Linked DNA regions of Rhinolophus ferrumequinum. The protein of the gene in region 2 purifies or fractionates together with the protein of the main gene of each other region. This does not show direct contact. Links are inferred from orthologs where the notes say so. Each region holds a gene or a part of one and is shown on either strand. Other genes may lie near its edges.

Evidence for each region.
Region 1: the proteins of CSTF3 (region 2) and CSTF2T purify together in Homo sapiens (co-immunoprecipitation; 4 studies listed by BioGRID and IntAct, counting the BioPlex papers as one, with this or other methods). This does not show direct contact. The link is inferred for Rhinolophus ferrumequinum from reciprocal best matches to the Homo sapiens genes CSTF3 and CSTF2T.

Annotation. Positions count from the first base shown.
Region 1 is NC_046299.1:34,701,112-34,711,575, forward strand, and holds CSTF2T (cleavage stimulation factor subunit 2 tau variant), read right to left. Parts: upstream 5,035-10,464; 5' UTR 4,759-5,034; coding exon 2,851-4,758; 3' UTR 2,486-2,850; downstream 1-2,485. UniProt on the Homo sapiens protein: May play a significant role in AAUAAA-independent mRNA polyadenylation in germ cells. Directly involved in the binding to pre-mRNAs.
Region 2 is NC_046294.1:24,519,202-24,530,772, reverse strand, and holds the start of CSTF3 (cleavage stimulation factor subunit 3), read right to left. Parts: upstream 5,091-11,571; 5' UTR 4,924-5,090; coding exon 4,897-4,923; intron 1-4,896. UniProt on the Homo sapiens protein: One of the multiple factors required for polyadenylation and 3'-end cleavage of mammalian pre-mRNAs.

The DNA.
Region 1 (10,464 bases), on a different chromosome or scaffold from region 2:
TGCCAGGGGTTGTAACCAGCCATTATGTAGTAAAACATGTAGGATTCTGATTGTAACAGGCACATTTTTTATTTTTCACTATCAAAATGGAGTAAGGCCCTATACTTTCTACACCAATATTGGGACAGAAAGAACCTATTTATTAGGTTTACCAGAGTAAAGGAGATTGCTTCTATTATGTCTAATTCATTTTCTAATGCAAATAGTTGTTATAGCTCATTTGGTCTGTGTAAAATCCAAATCCTTTTGGGTGAAATTTATGTGCTCTTAATGGGATTTTTGTTTCCCTAAGACTCTGATAAAATGTTTTGTCCTTCCTTTCTCACCCATGATTTTTGCTATAGCAAATACAGAAATGAGTAAGGCAGTCTGTGTTCAGAATTCCTGGTCTATTGGAAGTGTGTGTGTGCGGGGGTGGGGGTGGCAGTGGGTAAAAGTAGAAGTATAGTGCGTTGCAATATAAAATTGCTGTCAATAATGAAGATATGTATAAAGGGATCCTAGGATAGAGGAGTTCTGGGAACATAAACAAAAGGAAGCCTAATAACTGTGTATCCACCAAGATGCTGATACTGATACCAACCACAGAATAACACATCTTTATAGTTACTTCACTTGTGGAACTATATAATGTATCTAAGAAAGTGATCCTCATCCATCCCTGCAATTTCTTTAGTTTTGTCTTTTATATTAAAAAAAAATATATTCAAGCCCCACGGATCTCTCAATAGGTCACGTGAATAATGCATTCATCAAAAATAAACATATCAGCACAGGTAATAGAGTCAATGGAATTGTAACAGTTATATACGATGTCAGAGGGGTAGTAGATTGGGGGAGGGGGTTATCACTTTGTGAGGGGTGCAAATGTCTAACCATGACGTTGTTTTATACACCTGAAACTAATAAAACAAGAAAAAAAGTGACGCCATCAAGAAAAAAAAAGATTAAAAGAATTCACACACAACAAAATAAACATACCAGATAATAAAGTGAGACTTAATTCTACGTTCTTTTTATTAAGTCTGCATTAAACTTGCAGAGATTTTACTACAACAAAGAGCATAACATTTAATGGTTTTCATTTAGTTCTTCAGTGAAAGCTTTGGGATAAATCAACTGTAATTTCAAAGTAATCAAATCAACTCTGTATGAGTATTATCCAGAACTATCACACATGCACAGAAGAGCTATCCCCTCTAATATAGGGGAAGCATATAAAAACATGGGAAAATTAACAGTATGAACAATAGAAACAGGAATAAAACAGGTAGCCAGGAATGGTGTAGGGATGAAAACTTTGTAAAAAGATAGTGAATTACTAGTTAAGATGTAAAAACCTTGCAAGGGGAAAACATTCCAATTTCCAAGTCTCAGCTCTCTCCTTGTATTAATAACATTATTTCCTGTAACTAGACATTAGTTTTTCTTCTCCAGAGTAAGATCACCTGGTTATTTTGGTATTTATGCTTGTTAATTACCTGTGGTCTATGATGTCCTTATCATCAAGACTTAAAAACAAATCAGGTAGTAGCTCTGAAGGAAATGTGATAAGCCTCACCTTCCTACTGATTTTTAACTGTCTCAATGGTATGTTTATTAGGACTAAATGGCTTTATTACTTATAAAAAAGCAATGTGTAATAACCGAGCAGAGAACTTAGGCTATAAGAATCTCTCTACCTTCTTGGGCCTCAATTATTGTAAGATGGTGACAAATAGATTTTGAAATAAAAAAAACAAACACAAAAAACTAAAAGGCATGCTAAATGTTGCTGAGACTGAGATTTTTAACTCCTGATTCTGGTTGACTACATGGGCATCATCTGTATATGAACACTAGTTACCAAAAAGCAGAGCTTTACTGCATGAAGCCCTTTGCTATTTATGAAGAGCCCAATACTGTGTATAATTCATCTAGATAAACTGGTCACTAGGTATTGATTTTAGCGAAGGATGTGAAAGAGTAACTCTTTCAGATTTAGGGCTTAAAAGACTATGGAGAAATACAAGGTACTGAGAGATACACTGAATCTCATCAGAGCCAACTTAAGTAACCTGGATGATCCTAGAACTGCCCCAGCAAAACCACGTTCAGGGCCAGGCCAGAATACGGCTGGTCTCGTAAGAGTGAGATGAATGGAACATCACACTAGATGCATTCCTTGATTTTTCAGGTAGCATCACTTCAGAAAAGAACAATTCCAATACCACAAATTTAGACTTATCCTGTTAGCTCTAACGTTTCAAAATAATTTCAAAGCACTAAAACAGTGCTTAACCTAATACAGCATTCTACTGCCCCACAAGTAGGATTTTGTATTGTAAATGACTTACCAAAAATATATCTTATAATTTTGAGGTAAACTTCTTTATTTTCTTACGCAACTAAAAATCTTAAACTATCTTGGTTCATTACCATTTTAACAGGTCATCTTTTAGTCTTTATGTGCAGATTTCACATCGTTTTACTCAATATTTGAAAAAAAAATGTAGTAAACATATTGCAGACACTTTTAATATTGCTGCATATTCTTTGTAATCTTATTTGGCATAATATAATTATTTTCAGAATTATTTTTTGTGTATTTATAGTGAATTAAAGTGAACAGACCACTCCCTCTTACTCCTAGCGCCCCCCCCGCCCCCATTAAAAATAAAAAGGAAAACAGAAAAAAAAGACAACAAAAAGAAATGAGATTAGTTCTGGCAGGAGGGAAATCCTAATCATTCAAGTACAGGGGATGCAGAAGTTAGCTTTTTGCAGCCATTCTCCATGCAACAACAACAAACGACAACAACAAAAAAACCAAAAACTTTCTGGGATACTGCCAAGCATTTTTTAAACCTTTCAAGAAGCTCCAGTAGATTTCTGGATTTGTTCCTTTAAAATCAGGATACTCTGCCTTTGCTCAGGAGGCAGCATGGCAATTTGATCTGCAGTCAGTTGAAGAACTTGCATGATCAAAGCTGCCTTTTCTTGATCCTGTGGAGTTACTTGGCTCTGCCCAGGACTAAAACTGCTAGGCTGACCTCCACCTTGCTTGCCAGACCCCTGTATGCCTGTTGCTTGTATGCCTGCCCCCTGCATGCCCACTCCTTGTATGCCCGCTCCTTGTATGCCTGCTCCTTGCATGCCTGTTCCTTGCATGCCTGCTCCTTGTATGCCAGCTCCCTGTATACCTGCTCCCTGCATGCCTGCCCCCTGCATGCCTGCTCCTTGTATGCCTCCCCCCTGCATACCAGATCCAGGATTTCCCACCCCTGAAATGCTTGGGACCTGCCTGGGTCCCTGAGGACCACCTGCCCCCAAATTAATGGGAACAGGACCCTGGATTCCACTGTTCATAGGGCCTCTCGAACTGGGGCCAGGGCCTCGTATCTCCATTCCTCTTGCATCCATGCCTCTTGCTTCCATCCCTCTGGTTTCCATTGCACAGGTCTCCATTCCTCTTCTCTCCATCACTCGTGTCTCTAAGACCTCAGTTTCCATGGCTCGGGTCTCCATCCCTCGAGAATCTCTACCACCTCTGCCATCCATAGGTAGACCCCTTTGATCTATCATGGGTCCTCTGGGCTCTCCAATTAGCAGTCTGGGATCGGCTAATGGCCCTCCCCTCATCTCATGTGAGGAAGGGCCACGGCTGTCATGACCAGGGGCATGGTGCATGGGTGGACCCTGATGTGGTGGCCCAAGATAGCCCCTGGGCTCAACTTCTCCAGTGACTGAAAGCAAAGTCCCTCCACGTGGGTCATTTGGAGCATCTCCTAACAGTCCTCTAGGAGGCAGGCCACCAGCAGTCATGGGTCCACGAGGCATAGGAGCTCTAGGATCTGACATCTGCACCTGTCCCCGCTCTAAAGGCACTGGGCCAACCCCTGGCATTCCAACTTGAGGCTGCATTGCTCCACCAGGAGTTAAGGAACCAGGACCAGGTCCAGGAACTGCAGCTGGTATTGGCCCGGGGGCTGGAATTCCACCCTGGATAGGGGTCTGCATCAGAGGAGGAATATCTTTCACAGGTCTTCTAGCCAAATGCTGAGGCTGAGGTGCTGGAGGAGTCTGCTGGTTCAGCAAAACATTGGGTCCTGGGCAGAGTCCAGGGCCAGGGCCAGGGCCAGAGACGGGACCAGACACAGACTGAGATTTGCCTGGGATCAGTGGTGTGACATGTATCTTGCGATGAAGAATTTTTAGAGCAATCTCTGGATCCATGATTCTCATCACAACTTGTGCCTGCAACAGCGCATAAGCCAGTTGAGGGTTTTGAAGTAACATGTTTCGAGCTTCCTGGTGACTGTTTTGGACACAGAGCTTCATCTGCTTCATCAGCTCAAACATCTGCTCCGGAGGGAGACTAGCGACTGCTCTGGTAATTGATTCAGGAGCATCTTCTGGATCGATGGGATCCCCATACGGGGAGTCAATGATGGGCGCAGCAGGCCCTAGGCTCTTTAACTCCTCCTTGTTCTTTTCACTGGCAGCATTGTCCACCCGAAGCGCTCTCCCGCTGAACTCCCGCCCATTCAAGTTCCGCATGGCACTAAGCGCGGTCTCCTGGTCTTGGTACTCGCAGAAACCATAACCCTTGGGTTTTCCCGTCTCTCTGTCGTATACCAGCCGGAAACTGACAACAGAACCAACCTCCGAAAAAATGTCCTTTAACTGCTCCTCAGTCGCCTCATACGGAATGTTCCCCACGAACACGGAACGCAGTGATCGATCCATTGCCGGGTCTCTCACCGCCAAACTCGACATGATTCCGGCTGTTCAAAACGGCGGTGAGCGGATTCTTCCCAGGCTGTTCTTGCCACCGACACTTCCGCTGAGCAACGGAAGCGGCTCTCCAAATCCGGGCAGAAACGTCACACGTCCGTTTACATCGTTCCGCTTTTCGGTGGAATCTGCACCTCTACGTTCCACTACATTAGCTAATGGTTTCTGATCCTGGTCGTACGTGGTTCTGTCAGCACCTTATTTCTGAGACTCATAATTCCATTTTCGCCTCTGATTCCGCAGACTTTCGTGGCGCGGCACCACCCCCGCCAGGGAAAGTTTGGTGCGCGTTAACCACAGTAAAGATGGCCGCATAGACTTCACCATGGTAACAAGGAGAGGCCGCCTCCCTTTACGTCAGAGCGGGTTTTGCTTCCGTTTGACCGGCGGGAAACCGCCAACTGAAAACGGATTGAGGCAGCTCGTTCCTCCTTCTGATACGAGTGTTTGCACATAGCAGTTTCTCATTATTATAGTATATGTAAGCTACATTTAAAATCACATTCCAGACTTCAAGTGAAAAGTGTCGTTTCAAAACAGATTTGGGATTTTCTCCTTCAAATACAAAATTTATAGCTCCGTTTTAGGAAAAAAAAAAACACAACAGTTTGGGAAAATAAACTGCCCAGAAACAAGCCGAATGTGTGCCAGCTCCAGCCCCGCCCCATCGCGTTGCTTAGGAACACAGCCGTTGATAGGCGGCCGGTCCCTTCAAGTTTTTCTTTGTGCGCGCAGGCAGCAGTGGAGCTATGCATAATACTACTTGTTTTCTTTAACCGATATTAATATGAATGATTAACAATAAATAGCATTTTATGGCTGCAGAGTATGAATTAAATTTAACCTTTCTTACCTTGTAGGCATTTAGATTGGTCTGATAACTGTAAAGTGAAGTAATAGGTAATTTCAAAACCACTACTATGAAACAAAAAACAAACTATTTGTTTCTATTATGCTGTTAATTTTGACGGCAGAAGTTGAGTATACATAATGGAGTGGGGTTTTTTACCCCCACCTACTACACACGACAGAACTGGTAGAGCTGAAGCTTGGAGAGGGCTAGGTAATTTGCTAGGCAACCACTAAATGGCAAAGCCAGAATTCTCATCCAGGTATGGTCTGGCAGCTCCAGAGCTGCGCTGCCCCAATTGATAGCCACTAGCCACTTGGAGCTCTCGAGTACTGGAAATATGGCAGTGTGACTGCTAAATTGAAATTTTAATTGTATTTATTTTTTATTGATGTGAAATAAAAACTGATACTCAGCGAGGCTACTGGAAAACTTTTTGGTGTGTTTGAAACAAGTTGGGTTTAGAATGTACTTTAGCAATGATAAATTTTATGAAATCTAAATGAAAATCAAGTATTTCTTGTGAAAATTTAGCATCCTAATTGAAGTGTGCCGTATGTGTAAAGTACATGGAAGATTTTAAAGACTATAAAAAGTGTAAAATTATATCATTAACTTTATATTATTTACATGTCGAAGTAATATTTTTAATATGTAGGATTAAACAAAATATAATTTATCTCTCATTTTACTTTTTAAAATGTGGTTGCTTAGAAAACTTAAAATTACATATATGGATTACATTATATGTTTGTGGACTGCACTGCTCCAGAGCCTGAGTTTTAACTACTAAACATAGAATCATTACAAAGACTAGAGTAACTACGTATGCTTTTTGAGGGGATTATGAAACTTTGTTTCATCAAAAATTGTTTTATGTGTCTTGAGTATCATCATCACTGAGTGGCCAGAATTACAAAGAGCTATTAGGAACCTATGTCCAATGAATATATCTGAAATGAGTATGAGGTTTAGCTACAAATATGGTGAAGCCTTCATTTACCTTCAAATGTTTTAATTGTTCTTTAAAACAGACTTGGACATAGCTATTCACGCAAGACACATTGTAACTGATATCTGCAAGTGATAAAGTGCATTTATATCACCTATTAAAATCTTTCTGCTCTATCAAAAGAAACAGAATAGAGCCTAGTAGTAATGGTTTTCCCCCCTGATTCTTTTATTGGAGGCAGGGTGGAGGTGGAAGGGAGTTGAGGAAGATGTCATTTTGGAAAACTAAAAACAAGTACATTTGTCTCCTTTCCATACTATCTCTTTAAGGAGAGAAGCCATGACTTTTTTACACACATTCGGTCAGACAATTATGTGTGAAATTGTGTGTATGTTAAATGTAGTAATCATGAAGATAGCAATAGGCTATTAGGATAAATTATAAAGTTCATAAAAGGTTGCACAGCTTATCTGACAGTTGCTGTTTTTTTGTAATTTTTATTGGTGAATATTGGGGAACAGTGTGTTTTTCCAGGACCCATCACCTCCAAGTCAAGTCGTTGTTTTCAATCTAGTTGTGGAGGGCACAGCTCACTGGCCCATGTGGGAATTGAACCGACAACCTTGGTGTTATAAACACTGCACTATAACCAACTGAGCCAACCCGCCGCCCTGACGTGACAGTTTCTTTACTGATGCTCTGATAATAGCTAAACCAGCGGTCTTCATACGTTAGCATACATCAGAACCACCTGGATCCATGGCTTAAGTCAGATCGCTGGGTCTCTTCACCTCTCCTCCCCAATTCGGACTCAATATTTCTGAGGTAGGAGTGGAGAATTTGCATTTCTAACGAGTTCCCAGGTGATGCTGACGCTGCTGGTTAGGGGATTTCACTTTAAGAATCATTGTTCTAAACAAAGGGACTTGAAGTGTTTATCCACTTTTGTTTTCATCATTTGTATCAGGACAAAATTTAGTGCACTCTGTTAAAAAGTATAAGATATGGATGGTCTTTAAAAATTATTAATACTTTAATGCTGATCTAGTAACACTAGTACATGCTGATCCCACTCTGAAGATACCCTGGGTTCAAAGGATGTGTGAACAGAATAGCTGAGGGACTGGGGATGAACAAGAGGGAAGAAGCCTTTTTGTCATCGGTCTTCCATGTTCTCTTTAGTCCTCATATTCCAAACTAGAAGAATGGTTTGATATGGCTCCCTAGAAGATATGGCCTTCTCCTTAGAAAACCATACATGGTTTGATATGGTCTTCTCCATAGAAGACCAGTGTGTTCCAGCACATAGCTCAATGCTCAGGACCAATAAACTAATATTTATTATTAACTGAGTGGCCCAGAATTACAAAGAGCTTTTAGGAACCTATGTACATTTCCTGGTAGCATCATAGGTTTACCCTGGAAGAACTTACATTTTATACTGCTTTTTTTGTTCCCATAATGTTTAAAGTTTAGATATTTATAGCATGACATATACTCTGAAGAAAAATGGATGTGGCATCTTGCATGTTCAGGCATTGATCCAATAAATCAAAATATCAGCTGTACTAAGAGTGATTTTTAAACAAACACATCAAGGCATATGGCCAAATGGGGGCTATCCTTCAAACTAATCACCTTCAGAAACTGGAAACTTAATCCATTTGGACTTCTGTTGTTCAAAATGATTTCTAAAGTCCTATTCTAAAGTTGTTTTAGGGCTCCATTTTTATGTCATACTAGAAAACTGGTGCCTTAACTCGAAGGTATACCTTGTTTTCAACCAAGAACAGAGTTATGTAACTAAATCACCTAAATGTCTGACCAGATGTGGTAAAAATATATTAGCTCTTTCCAAATATCAAGACATACATCAGAATATAAAGATTCTGTATCCTTTGAGCATACTAACAGAGATTCACTATAGATTAATTAGATTCCAAAGAGAGGTACTAAAAAATATTTTTAGTTATGACATTTTTGAAATAAATGTGTGGGTCCCTATACACAGAGATAGATCAAAATACACTCCTACACAAAGTTCTCTTTAATCTTCTTCCTCCTTCCTCTAGATTGGAAGTAAGTTCATTTTTCTTTGGATATAAACCATTCTTTATCTGTACCTGGCGAATGAGAGTAACTTTTCTACCTTTTAGTAAACCATATCATTCAAGGAAAGAGCAAAGATGGATTCTTCTTGTCAATCAACAAAGTGCCTTATATTAATTCTTTTATTCCATAAATACCGGGGGTGCCAAAAAAATGTATATGAGTGGACACTTTGTGAGCGTTGCTCAAGCGATAGTTTGCCGTAATCAGAAATGTCTGAATGCTGATGGTAACCACTTTGAGCACCTCTTGTACTTACAGAAGTCAAATGTGACTTGTATTAATCTTTTGCTATTGGTATATATTGAGTATTACAATTTTAATAGATTTTTTTCCTTTCTTAAAATGTGTATACATTTTTTTGGCACCCTCTGTATTTATCCTAGGCATTGGCAACACAACAGTGTAAAAGACAGCCTTTCCACTAGAACATGTGTTCTCTAAGTGTTGTTTCTGGACCAGTATCGTGAGCATCACTTGGAAACAGAAATGCAAAAATTGGGGGCCCTACTCCAAACCTACTGCATCAGAAACTTGGGGTGGGGGGGGGGTTGTACATGTGTATACTGAAATTTATTTTAACAAGCTCCCCAGGTGTTTCTGATGCAGGCTAAACTTCAAGAACCAGTGAAATAAGGAGAGATAATCATAATGAATAGGTTAGGTAGGTAGAGAGAGAGAGAGATAGATAGATAGATAGATAGATAGATAGATAGATAGATAGATACTTGGTCTTCTTCACACTGTATCCTCATGACCTAGGAAATAGCTTAGCACAGGTGGGCGCTCATTATATGTGGAATGTATGATGAGAAGTGACTTCAGTTGGCTAATTCACAAACCCTTCATTTTGCAAAGGAGACACTCTGCATTAAATAACATGCCCATAAAAAGAATGAGCACCTGCTGCTAGGACCCTTCTCATTTTATACCTAGGTCAGTGACAGTTGTTCCATGTTGTTATTTGATAAATGGATATGCAGTGAAGTATGTAGAGATGGAAGTAAGTGATAGAGTCTGTATCATCAAAGACATCTTGCTGAGGGAGCTGGGATTTAAGGGATGGGTTATAATCTGGTATATATAAATAGAAGACAAGGAGAATTAGCCAAGAGATAGGGATAGACAAGACATGAAATTGGAACCTAGTGTTTTTTGATGCCCTCAGAGGAAACTAATAGAGAGTTGGTGAATGGTGTGATAAAACATTGTCTTTTGGGACAGGTTACAAAAAGGTTTTGAAAATCAGATTCACGAATCTAAACTTGATGTGAGAGTCAGTAGGCTTTCTTCCATCTTTCTGAAACAATGAACATAGAATAATAATGGCAGAGGTTTAAGAATACCAATCTTATACAGTCCTTCTCCGTGAACTTGGACATTCTTTTGAACTTGGACATTCTTTTTAATCCATTCTAATTTTACATCTAAAGTGTGGCCATTTATCTTCCTGCTTTTAACATCTTCTATAATGTGGCTTCATTCTCATTACTCACCCATCCCTTTCATACATTCCCCTCTGGCTAAATTGTACCACTCATTTTTTGTAGTTCTCATAGGATTTGTGCTTTTCCACCTCCTAGATTTTGATCATGCTATTTCATTTTGTTGAGGATGCCTTTTTCCTCTCCTCATCACCCCACACCAATGCTTAAATCATTCTTGTCCTTCAACACTTACCTCAAAGAATTTTCCTTTTAGAGTAGAACATTGATTTGGCACCAATGCATTACCTTCTATCTTGTATTAGAGTTACCAATATTCTTTTTTTTCCCCC
Region 2 (11,571 bases):
TATATAATCCCTCAACCCTTCCAAAAACTAAAAATCTACTAAATATGCAACCCAAAAACTTAAAAAAAGAAAAAATAAGTTATTATTGGTTCAAATAATTACACTTATAATACTTGCTTATTAAATTTGCTTATCCAACCCCTAGGAGACAAATAGCTACAAATTACAAACAAAAACCTTAATCTTTTCGAATTTGAAAAATGTTGCTTCTTTAGACCAAAAGTAGCCAAGATATTAATTCACTAGATAAACTAAGTGAAACATTAGGAAAAGATCAATTAGGATATAGTTTTGCCCTTCTGCTTTTACTCAATAGTTACTGCTTATTATAAAATAGCCATTAACCTACAAATAGGTTAAACATTTGCCCAACTCAAGTTCCTTTTTAGATCAATTTTCACATCATTACCAACTATCCAGCAGAACAAAAAGACTCAAATTCACTGCTAGATCTTGTCTAAAGAGAAATAAAGTTAAGAACAGTGACAGAAGAGCTTAAAACTATTAATTGTTTTTGGCAATTGTCCACTTAATAGGTACAAACATCTGAATACAGATTTGCTGTCCCAGGTCTCTCCAGTATGTCAACCCTTGTATTCCCTGAAACTCCTATGACCCTAACGCTGAAAGAATGGAATCTCTCCTAACACAGTACCTTTCGGCTGTACCTCTAAGGAAAACCAATATTTTTGTAAACACAGATCACTTTCTCTTAGAAACCAATCATTGTCAAATATTCTATATAGCCCAGTTTTCTCAATAAATATTAATAACGATCAAATCAAATTTGCTCCAAGCTGGCATACTAAATATCATTTCAAAATAGGAGGGGGAAAAGTAGGAAAGGCTATCACAAAAGATTTTGTTAAAAACAGGTAAAAATAATTGGGCCCAAAGAAAGCTCCGCCTAAGTACTTGATCCTTTCCTTCTTCCCTGTTCTTAACCCCTACACACACCCACTTTGGCTTTAAAATTATTTGGCGCTGCTGTTACCTCTTAACTGCTAGTAAGTAGTAATAATTACCCAACAAAATAAACCAGACTTTAGGTTTCAACATTGTGGGTGTTTGAGCTTTCTTTCCTCATTAATAAGTATATAACAATACATATTTTTCATATTTTCTGTATCTTTCCCAAACTTATTTTTCACCAAAGCAAAACACTGATTTGTGGCCCCGAATCCCCTTTTGTTAAGTACTGGCAATTTATCTGTGCTTCCTCAATTCATGAAATTTTCCCAAAGTGAGGATCATTTTGTTTATATTTTTAGGCCTTCTTTAGAATAGGCTTATAGGTTGTTTACATCTTATTTCTAAAAGACGAGAGTATAAAAACATCTTAGGGACTCAAAGGTTCATATGAATTGACATGGCCCAACACATTCCTCTTCCTCCTTTTAGCCAACAAAACTTTAGAAACTATCCACTCTTATGTCCAAAATATTTTATTTTGCATTACTTATGCATCTGTGTTTCACAAATGATTAAATTCTTTGAATATTTGTAATGTATCACATGTAACCTCAGTACAAAATTCATCCATTCATTTACTGAACACTTTTAAGAATCAAAACAGTATTTCCTAGGTTTTTAAAATGCAATGATAAATACAGCAGCCCCTTCAACCCAAGCTCAAATGCAGTGGCGGGCACTCTAAGCAATAGCTTACTAAATGCTGTAGGAAGTAGTGCATAAGGTAAAATAAGGCTAAGAAAGAATGAGATCAAAAGTTGAATCCAGCAGTTAAAAAAAAATCTGTAAGATAAAAATACAGTCATTATTCCACACATGAACCAGATGTGTTCATTAGGGAGAAAAAACTGTATGCACATATTTTGTCCCCATTAAACTGGCAAAAACAGTAAACACAAAGCTCCAGGAGAATACCCACAAACACTGGAAGGTAATTTAAATAGCTCCCTAAATGCAAAACAGAACTTCCTTACAAGAGCAAAAAAATTTACAATAAACCTTAGTCGTGATTTTGGTTCTCTACAATCATTTCCCTCTTTCAAAGGGCACAAATCCAGACATTCAGTACCAAGAAAGAAATGACCATCCATATTTTTGACTTAACAAATAAGGTATTATTTGGTTTATTTGACAAAAGCTTCAATGCTAAAAGGCTAAAAGAAATCTATCTACACTTCATGTATTGCAAAGTTCTGTCTATCCCATCCGTTGGCATCTTTCCTAAGCAAATCCATCATTCAGAGTGCTTTTGATTTTATTATTCTTCACTTCATGTCATTTTAGGCACTCCTCTTTTCCTCTAAATTTTCACTGACTGTTGTCTTATACATAAAAAAAGTTAGTTGATTCATATTTTTAATCATGCTATTCTTTAAATTATCATTTTGTTTAAAGCTGAATCCAGCTTTTAAAGCAATGGAAATGGGAAGAGCGAATGAAAGTATGGAGAAAACAAGATTTGCAATGAGTTGAAGATCTATGATAGGAACGTACATTATATTAGTCTTTCTTTTTTTACATGCTTGAAATGCATCATTAAAAAGTTAAAGATTATACAAAGATGACTGTTAGTATTCAGATGTCAAAAATGTCTTTCCAGAAATCCAGTGATACTCAATCTATGAAAAGGAGAAAAGGAAAAAAGGGAAACTTCATATTTTTACAGAAAAATATGAGCCAGTACGTAGAGACAGAATAAGAAGTTTTAAAAAGCCACCATTTGCCACCTCCAATATAATGACTGATTTATTCAAAGATTATCAATTGATAACTAGGTAAAAAGTTAGTGAGGAACACAGTATCAACCCACATTACTAACTGTAAAGGGGAAGATAATCCTTTACAATGAAGCAGTTACCCCAAACAAGTGATCAAACTTAAACATCACCAACAATGGAACAACTTAGCAAGAAGTGCCTTTTGATGTAATGTTATAAAGTATTCTATCCAAAAATATTTAACCTAAATATTATCAGAGCTCTGAGTTTAGTTTTTCAGGAAATACAGACAATGAAGGGGACAAGTTAAATGACAAACACAAAAATCAAATAAACCCAAAAAGTGAGAAATTCTAAAAGTAAACTAGATTCTTCAAATAGACAATATCCTAGGGGAGAAAAAATTGGGAACTATTCAAGAGAAGTAACCAAATAATGCAATGTGAACCTAGATTAGATTCTGATTAAAAATAAAAAACAACAACCAAACCCTATGAATCATGTTCTTGGGACAACGGGGCAAATCTGAATATAGACTGGATTTTAGAAATGATACGATGACAATTTTCTTAGGTGAGAAAATGGTATGATGGTTATATAAGAGCATCAATGCTGAATTATGTGGGGCTGATGCTAAAAATGAGAATGTTGAAATATGTGGTACTGAAATATATGTTGACTTACTTTCAACTAAATATGTATCGGGAAATAAAGCAAATGTGGTAAAACGTTTAACAATTGATTCTAAGTGAAGAATTGTACTATTGGTGTTCATTGCACTTTCAACTTTTTTCTATGTTCTTAACTTTGCACAATAATACTTTTCGATGAGATTTTTTTCCTCTGTAAAATTTCACCACCTCTCTCCCATTTAAAACACCATTTAAAATGTTCAAGGTCATGGCAACATTTCAGTGTCTTTACAATTTTAGATGAACATATTCACAATGAATTCTGGAACCTTTCAGTTAAACTTCACTGCATAGTACTCCTCGACTTTCAGAGGACAAAATATGAGCCCAGAAAGAGGATAAGATTAGATAAACAGATTTGATTTAATATTTTTAAGGCTTTGTATTCTTGGGCATCATGTAAAATGTAAATAAACACTGCAAAGATTTTAGGACTGAAATCAGTCGACAAGTAAACACAAAATTCAATGAGGCAAACTTTCAAGACATAATAAAACTGACAGTCACCCAATATCCCAATAGGAACGCTCCAATTGTGCCTCATCTATGTCAACCTCCACTTTATAAGCTGGAGACTTGAAAAATGAAAACCTAAGTGTATTTCGTTGCTATGGCAATGAGAAATTTCAGAAAATTGAGACTCTGCAGGCTAGTCCAACTCCATTTTAAAAACTATTTACCTAAATATACCAGGACATAAGTCGAAAAACAAATTGAATAACACCTTTCATAAAATATCAGTTTTATTTTTCAAACTAAAAGGTAAACACTATCCTACAAAACTCTAAAGAGCAAAAGAAACAAATCACTAATCAAAAATGTGAATTTTAAAATATTTAAACGTTACTTATATCCATATTAAAACATGCTTTTACAGGGGCCAAAACAGACTTCTCGTTTCCGATCTATCAAATTCTGAAATATCTGTCTCGCTGGAAAACGAAAATCAAATGTGAACAGAAGCGAGAGAAAGCCACAAAATTCCTAAATCGCAGCACAATCACGCTCTACTCCCAAACTGTTTCCTTCATTAGCTCAGGCAAGTCTATTTCCCCAGATTACTTTAGTCTCAAATTATTTCTCAAGCTAGTAGTAACCTATTTTTGAGTACAGTATATATCGGTGAGAGGGCGGAGGGAATATTGTCAAGTTTTTCGAAAACAGCGAGTATACGTTAAAATAATCAATTCCTAAGAACCTAAACATCAAAATGGTATCAAAGGAAGGCATCCAATTAGAGTAGTCCCAGGAGCCTAAAATGGACCAAGCAGCTTCCTGGCTATTGTCTAAATCAATTATTTGTTCATTATTAACGCCTAAAACAGAGAAGCCAAAAAAAAATTTTAAGTCTCAGTCAGACATTGTCCCCCATTTCCACCATCTTCCTGTACCGGGTCCTCCGAGTTCATTAGACCCTTGATCCCTTCCTCAAGCGAACATGGCTGGAGTACTAGGACGAACAGAGACATGGAGAGAAGAGGTCGCCACGAGGCCCCACCACTCTCCTTCCTCACCTGCTCCGTGGCTGCGTCTCCTGACATGGCCTCAGATGATTAGAATGTGCGAACTGGCCCGCGATGCGAAGCTAGAAAGGAAAATTTAAACTAAAAACCACCCCCAAACCAATAAAATTACCCCCTGCCCAGCGGAGCCAGACAGCCAACACGAATTGCCGCCGCCCACTCAGATATGAATTAAAATGGCTGCGCCCCTGCCGGCCGAGAGAGAGGTGTGGCGTTTGTGTTAACTTCCGGGGCAGTGGGCGGGGTTAAGGTCGGAACTCGCCGTTTACTCGGCGCGCAGGAGCAGAGCGATCCCAGGGGGACGGATCCATTGCCTTGATGACGTCACGGCACTGGGCTGGAGAGACTGTTGCTGAACTGGTTGCGACGTGCTGGGAGGCGGGAAACTTTGGATAGAGGCTCGCGCGCCTCTTGGAATTTCATTATCAAGCTGTGGATCCCGGTTCTTCACTGTTGAAGCCTGACTACCAATCAGTTAAGTTCAAGCACACTGGCCATCTTAGGAAGCAATGCTAAGTGTTAAATGCCTCCTGTATTTTGGAAATAAGGAATCTATCAAGGTTTTCTATGGTCTCAGCTAGTGCTTTTTACGCTTCTTGGGGATAAGAGGGACAAATCAAGCCCATATTAATATATTCTGTCACCATCTACTATTGTGTCTAAGACTTTGAAATCAGTTAAGGCCCGCTTTTTAAGCTCAGTATCTCACCTTGGTTCCTCGTCTGCAAAGTGGGAATAATAGCGCTCAGTAACCTTCGGTAATTGAACTTCCCCGTGCCTCAGTTTCCTTGCCAATAGGCAGGAATAACAATAGTACTTGCAATTTTAGTAAGTTATACATGCAGACATGCTCAGAACAATTCCTTGCATTGTCCAAGATTAAGTGAGAGAAAGTCTCGAACTTCTTTTCCATTCACGGATCATAATTATATGTCTCCTTCCACCTCCCTTGCCTGTAGTGGCCTATGCCCCAGACAAAGTGAACTATTCAACTTTTCATGTACACCCCTTATTCTTTCCAGTCTCCCACTATTGCTCATATTTCCATCTCTGCCCTTTGCACAGCCTGAATTCTTACCCTTCCGACTAATCAGACACATGAACAAAAGATGCATATTGACGTGTTAATTTACCATTCAACAACAGAGTACTAGTTAAATATGTAACAAGGTATCTCTACAATGGAATGTCATACAGGCAGTAAGCTGAGCTAATGTACAATTACAAACTAACAGAAAGACATCCATGATATTAAGTGAAAAAGAATACAAAAATAGTATATATTACCAGTATATAGGATGTACAGTATATTATGTATATATTTATATACACTACCTAGATTGTGTCACATAATTTTCCTGTTTGTCTGTGATGAACTAATGTAAGAATAATGCCAAATTCTCATGGATATTAGCTATGCTAATAATTCACCTTCCAAGTGGGTTGAAATCAGTGGGTACTTCTGAGTGAATTAAAAAGCAATCAAAATTTTGTTTTACAATAGCTATCCTTTGAAAGGTGTAAATCATCACTAGAGCTTGGGAATTTGTCCTGTACTACAGTTTATTTAACATTTTTAGAATTTATTTAGTTCATTCCTTTCATTAACTCCCAACATCATTTTAAAGATGAAAGTAATTCTGACACCAAAATTGTACAAGGTTGGCACTTTATAACTAATCCTAAAGCCATTTTTACTTATAAACAAAATTGAAAGAAAATCAAAAATCAAAATCACCAAATTGAAAACAGCACTGAGCTTAAATAAATATATATATATTATATGTATATTTTATATATATATATAATACAAGATAGTTATATTTATCCATAAGGATGGATTAACATTAAGAAATCTATTAACAAAAAAAAAGAGAGAAAAGAGAAAAATCTATTAACAAGAGAAAAAAGAAATCTATTAACAAATATATTGTCATATTAATAATTTTAAAAAAGAAAATTTACCATCTGATATTTATTAAAAAGTATTTGATAAAATTCCACACACATTTATGATTTAAGAAAAGGAAAATCTCTAACTAGGAATAAAAGGAAACTTCCCTATCTCCTAAAAAATATTTCCCAGAAATCTTCAGCAGATCATATTAAATTACAGTAATGGCCACCTTTCACTTGTATTGTTACACTGTACTGGAGGTCCCAGCTAATGCCAAATGAAGTACAAATGTTGGAAAGTAAGACAAATCTGTCAATGGTTTCAAACAATATGATTTTCTACTTAGAAAATTCAAGTAAACCAATTGACAAATTATTAGAAATAATAATAGAGTTCATTAAGGTGGCCAAATAAAAGATTAACTTACAAAAATTAATAGTTCCCTATACTCCAGCAGTAATGGATTAGAAAAAAATGTCATAAATGAAAAGATATGCTCATAATAGCAATGAAAACCATAAAACATCCAGAAACAGCTGTTGTTCTGGTCACCTATGACCTTCCAATTGCCAAATGCAGTAGTCAGTCTTTAGGTCTCTATCTTATTTGATCAACCAGCAGTGATGAAGCTGATCACTCTCTTCTTTTGGAAACATTTTTGTCACTTGACATCCCGAATACACATTTTTTGGTTTTGTCACTACCTCCTTGGCCACAACTATATAGTAGTATACATATACATCTTCTGAGTGATGTTGGCTGAGATATAGATGTATAATGAAAGACAAATAAAATACTATTACCACATATATTGTAATATTTTATTACTACAAATTTTGCCACTTGCAGTGTTTCCATGAATCCCCCAGGTGGCAGACAAATACAATTTCCACTTGATTGAACAAACTTGGTAAAGAATATTACATCCTTACTGCAAATCATTAGAAATATTCATCAGAATTTCAGAGTACAGTCTAAGTATACTTACCATATGATTAAGGAACTAACTTTTCATAACTGACAACAATTTTGTTAGAATCATAAATGGCAATTGTTAAATTGCTGAGCAATCATTGTATTATAATTAGGCACTCTGATAAATATATATTCCACTTGACCCATCATTCTAAACACTTACTGTAGAAATGTATCTTCTGGCTATGGATGCTAATATTGGTCCTTTGTTTGGAATCTGAAAAAGTCAATTAAGCATCACTGAGAATAAAGCAAAAGCTCTAATCAATTGGTTGTATTTTTAAAAAATCTTTGGAGATTTCTATAGTTATTTCTAATTTTAAACTCATGTCAGTTAAAATTGGTCATAAAATGCTGAGTGTATATTATACTTGATATAAGATACCCACTTGGCTGTAAATACGTTAAACATACCTGACATCCTCACCCTCACAGCTATATTTTAATGTTTCAGTCTGCTTTTTATATTTTGATCTATTTTACAAAAAGTTTAATAGGCGCATGACTACAGCTATGTAGAGGGATGGGCAAATATGTTAAAAGCTTGCTTGAGAAGGACACAAATATATCTGCAACTTTGTTTTTTAAAGTATATAAAACACTTTCAAGTAATGAGTTTTCCGTATACATGATAAAATTGCCTGGAATGACTGTTGACTCAAATTGAATTAGAATGTTAATTAAACACATTTACACATAAACACATGTTTTATACATTTCTTAAGTTTAATCTGACTCTACTACTTGAGTCGAAAATGATTTGAAAAGTAAAAATAAGGGCTGATCAGTTGAAAAAAAATCTGGGAATTGTTAAATATATTCATTGTTCTAAATATTTTTAAAACTCTCTTAAATTAGTCAAAGCACTAGAACAAAAATATTGGTTAAAACTGAGAGAGGAAAAAAAAGCAATTACAATGTCAACAATTTGAAAAACAGTTTTTATTTCACACAGTCCCTTTTGTATTCAATTATATGCACACATTTTTTCCTTTTGCGAATACTCGCATATAGTTTTGATTTCTGTGGAGGGCTATTTTTTGTTTTTAAAAATGTGACGACTGGGGCTGCCCGGTGGCTCAGGCGGTTGGAGCTCCATGCTCCTAACTCCAAAAGCTGCCGGTTGCATTCCCACATGGGCCAGTGGGCTCTCAACCACAGGGTTGCCGGTTCAACTCCTCAAATCCCACAAGGGATGGTGGGCATCACCCGCTGCAACTAAGATTGAACAAGGCACCTTGAGCTGAGTTGCCGCTGAGCTCCCAGATGGCTCACTTGGCCGGAGCGTGGGCTCTCAACCACAAGGTTGCCAGTTCGATTCCTCAAATCCCGCAAGGGATGGGGGGCAGTGCTCCCTGCAACTAAGATTGACCATGGCACCTTGAGCTGAGCTGCTGCTGAGCTCCCAGATGGCTCAGTTGGTTGGTGGAGCGCATCCTCTCAACCACAAAGTTGCCAGTTCCATTCCTCAAATCCCGCAAAGGATGGTGGGCTGCGCCCCTTGCAACTGGACCTGGAGCTGAGCTGCGCCCTCCACAACTAAGACTGAAAGGACACAACTTGAAGCTGAACGGCACCCTCCACAACTAAGATTGAAAGGACAACAACTTGACTTGGAAAAAATTCCTGGAAGTACACACTGTTCCCCGATAAAGTTCTGTTCCCCTTCCCCAATTAAAAAAAAAAGTGACGCCTATATTAACTGGTGTGACATAGACATTATACTGCTTCCTATGGCCTCTTAATAAAAGAAGCTAAATATTTTTGTCAGGTAGGGGCACCAGAATCAGAGTCTACCCAATAGATAGACTCCACACTCATGAATTAAACAATCCAATTACATATACCCTACTTGAAAAGCTGAAGCTGGACGAAGAGACAGTAGCGGGGAGGGAGAGATGGAGAAAGAGAGAGAGGAGGGAGGGAGAGAGAAAGAGAGAGAGAGAGAGAAACCAAGTGGATGCTGGTGTAACCAGTCCTAGAATCGTCTCAGTTATGAAGTGGCTTAACATTTTAAAACTATACATGTCCTTACAGTTAATCTTTTTCCCTTAAGACTGAATGAACTTCTGTTCTTTGCCACCTAAAGTGTGACACAACCACATTTTGATAAATTATCAATTCATGCCCACTTTCCCCTTCTTTTTCTGTTCCCTTACCTTTTATGTGAGCTTGTTCACCAAATGATTCATTTGAAATAGAAATAATTTTTAAAAACCAATTTTAACAACTCTGAAAACAACTTGATGTTGCATAAAAATAATGAATATTTTAGAACTTTGCTTCCACGGTTTCATCATTATCCTTAATCCTGGAAACTGTATAAAAGATGTATTCATTTTCTAGTGGAAAAATCTACAACCTCCATAAATTTACATTATAAAATGCCAAGTCTGTTTTCAGGACATGAATCTGGCCCACAAAAGACTCTCAGTAAAGTATGTATGCCTCATAATCTTTGGTGTGATAATACTATTCTGCACAGTAGTATAATACTACCACTATACTCTGCGTGGTGATTTTCATCCAAAGACTCTAGACTCTGTGATGGTCATTTAGTTGTTTACTGGTAATAGTACACAGAAGGATGGAATGTGCTATCCCTGGCACAAACAGTCCTGCTGGAAATTTAGAGAGAATAAAATGTCTCCATACTTCAGTGACTACAGAGAAAACTTTTTGGAAAAGAGAGAAAGCAAAGTTCCAAGAAGTATATATTTATTATCTCTGTGCTGGGTAGCTGGAACTCTTTGTCAATGAGGTCATAGTTTTCATCCCAGTGTGGCTCATTTATCTTTGCTAACTTCCTTAATCATAACATGTACCCCTAACCCCAGCCAACTGCTTGATAAATGTCTCTTCTTGGTCCAAAGGAGGCCTGAAAAGAGCATAAAATAAAATGTGAAAATCCACCACTATAATTGGAAAAATAATTGAAAATGCTTGTCCAACTGACAATAGATTAATAAAGTTACCATTTTCGTCTAGATACTGGTTAGTAGTCATATAGAAAGGCACAGCCTACATATACAGACAATTTCTGAATGATTCTAGATGAATTATTGATTCATCCTAATAGTGATAGGATTTCCCAAATGTGTTTCATTGTGTGTCAATTAATGTACAGATGGAGCCTTATTATTTATTTTTATTTTATAACTGGAAGTTTGTACCTTTTGACCACCTTCGCCCACTTTGCCCAAACCCAACTCCCACCTCTGGCAACCACCAACAATCTGTTGTATCTATGAGGTTGGTTTTTATTTTATTTTGTTTTATATTTCACAAAAAGTGAAATCATACAGTATTTGTCTTTGTCTGACTTGTTTCATTTAGCTTACTTGAGGTCCATCCATATTGTCACAAGTGGCAGGATTTGCTTTTTTTTAAGAAATTTTATTTATAGAATTAAAGACATGGTATTCTAATTATTCTTTAATAATAAAGTTTTAAAGTTATTTTTAATTTTGAAAATTATAAAATTATAGAAATGTAGTTAATACAGAAATGTAAAAGGAAAAAATAATCCAGTTTAAAGAACACTTTAAAAAACCACTATTAACATTCTGCTATTTTACTTTCTAATCATTTTATTGATACTTTAAAATTAGTTATGGTTATTTTATATATGTGGATGTAAGAAATGTCCAAACCTGTAGAAAATTTGTACAACAGTTTGTTAGAGGGGATGGCTGGGTGGCTCGGGTGGTTGGAGCACCGTGCTCCTAACGCCGAGTTTGCCGGTTCAATTCCCACATGGGCCAGTGAGCTGCGCCCTCCACAGCTAAGATTGT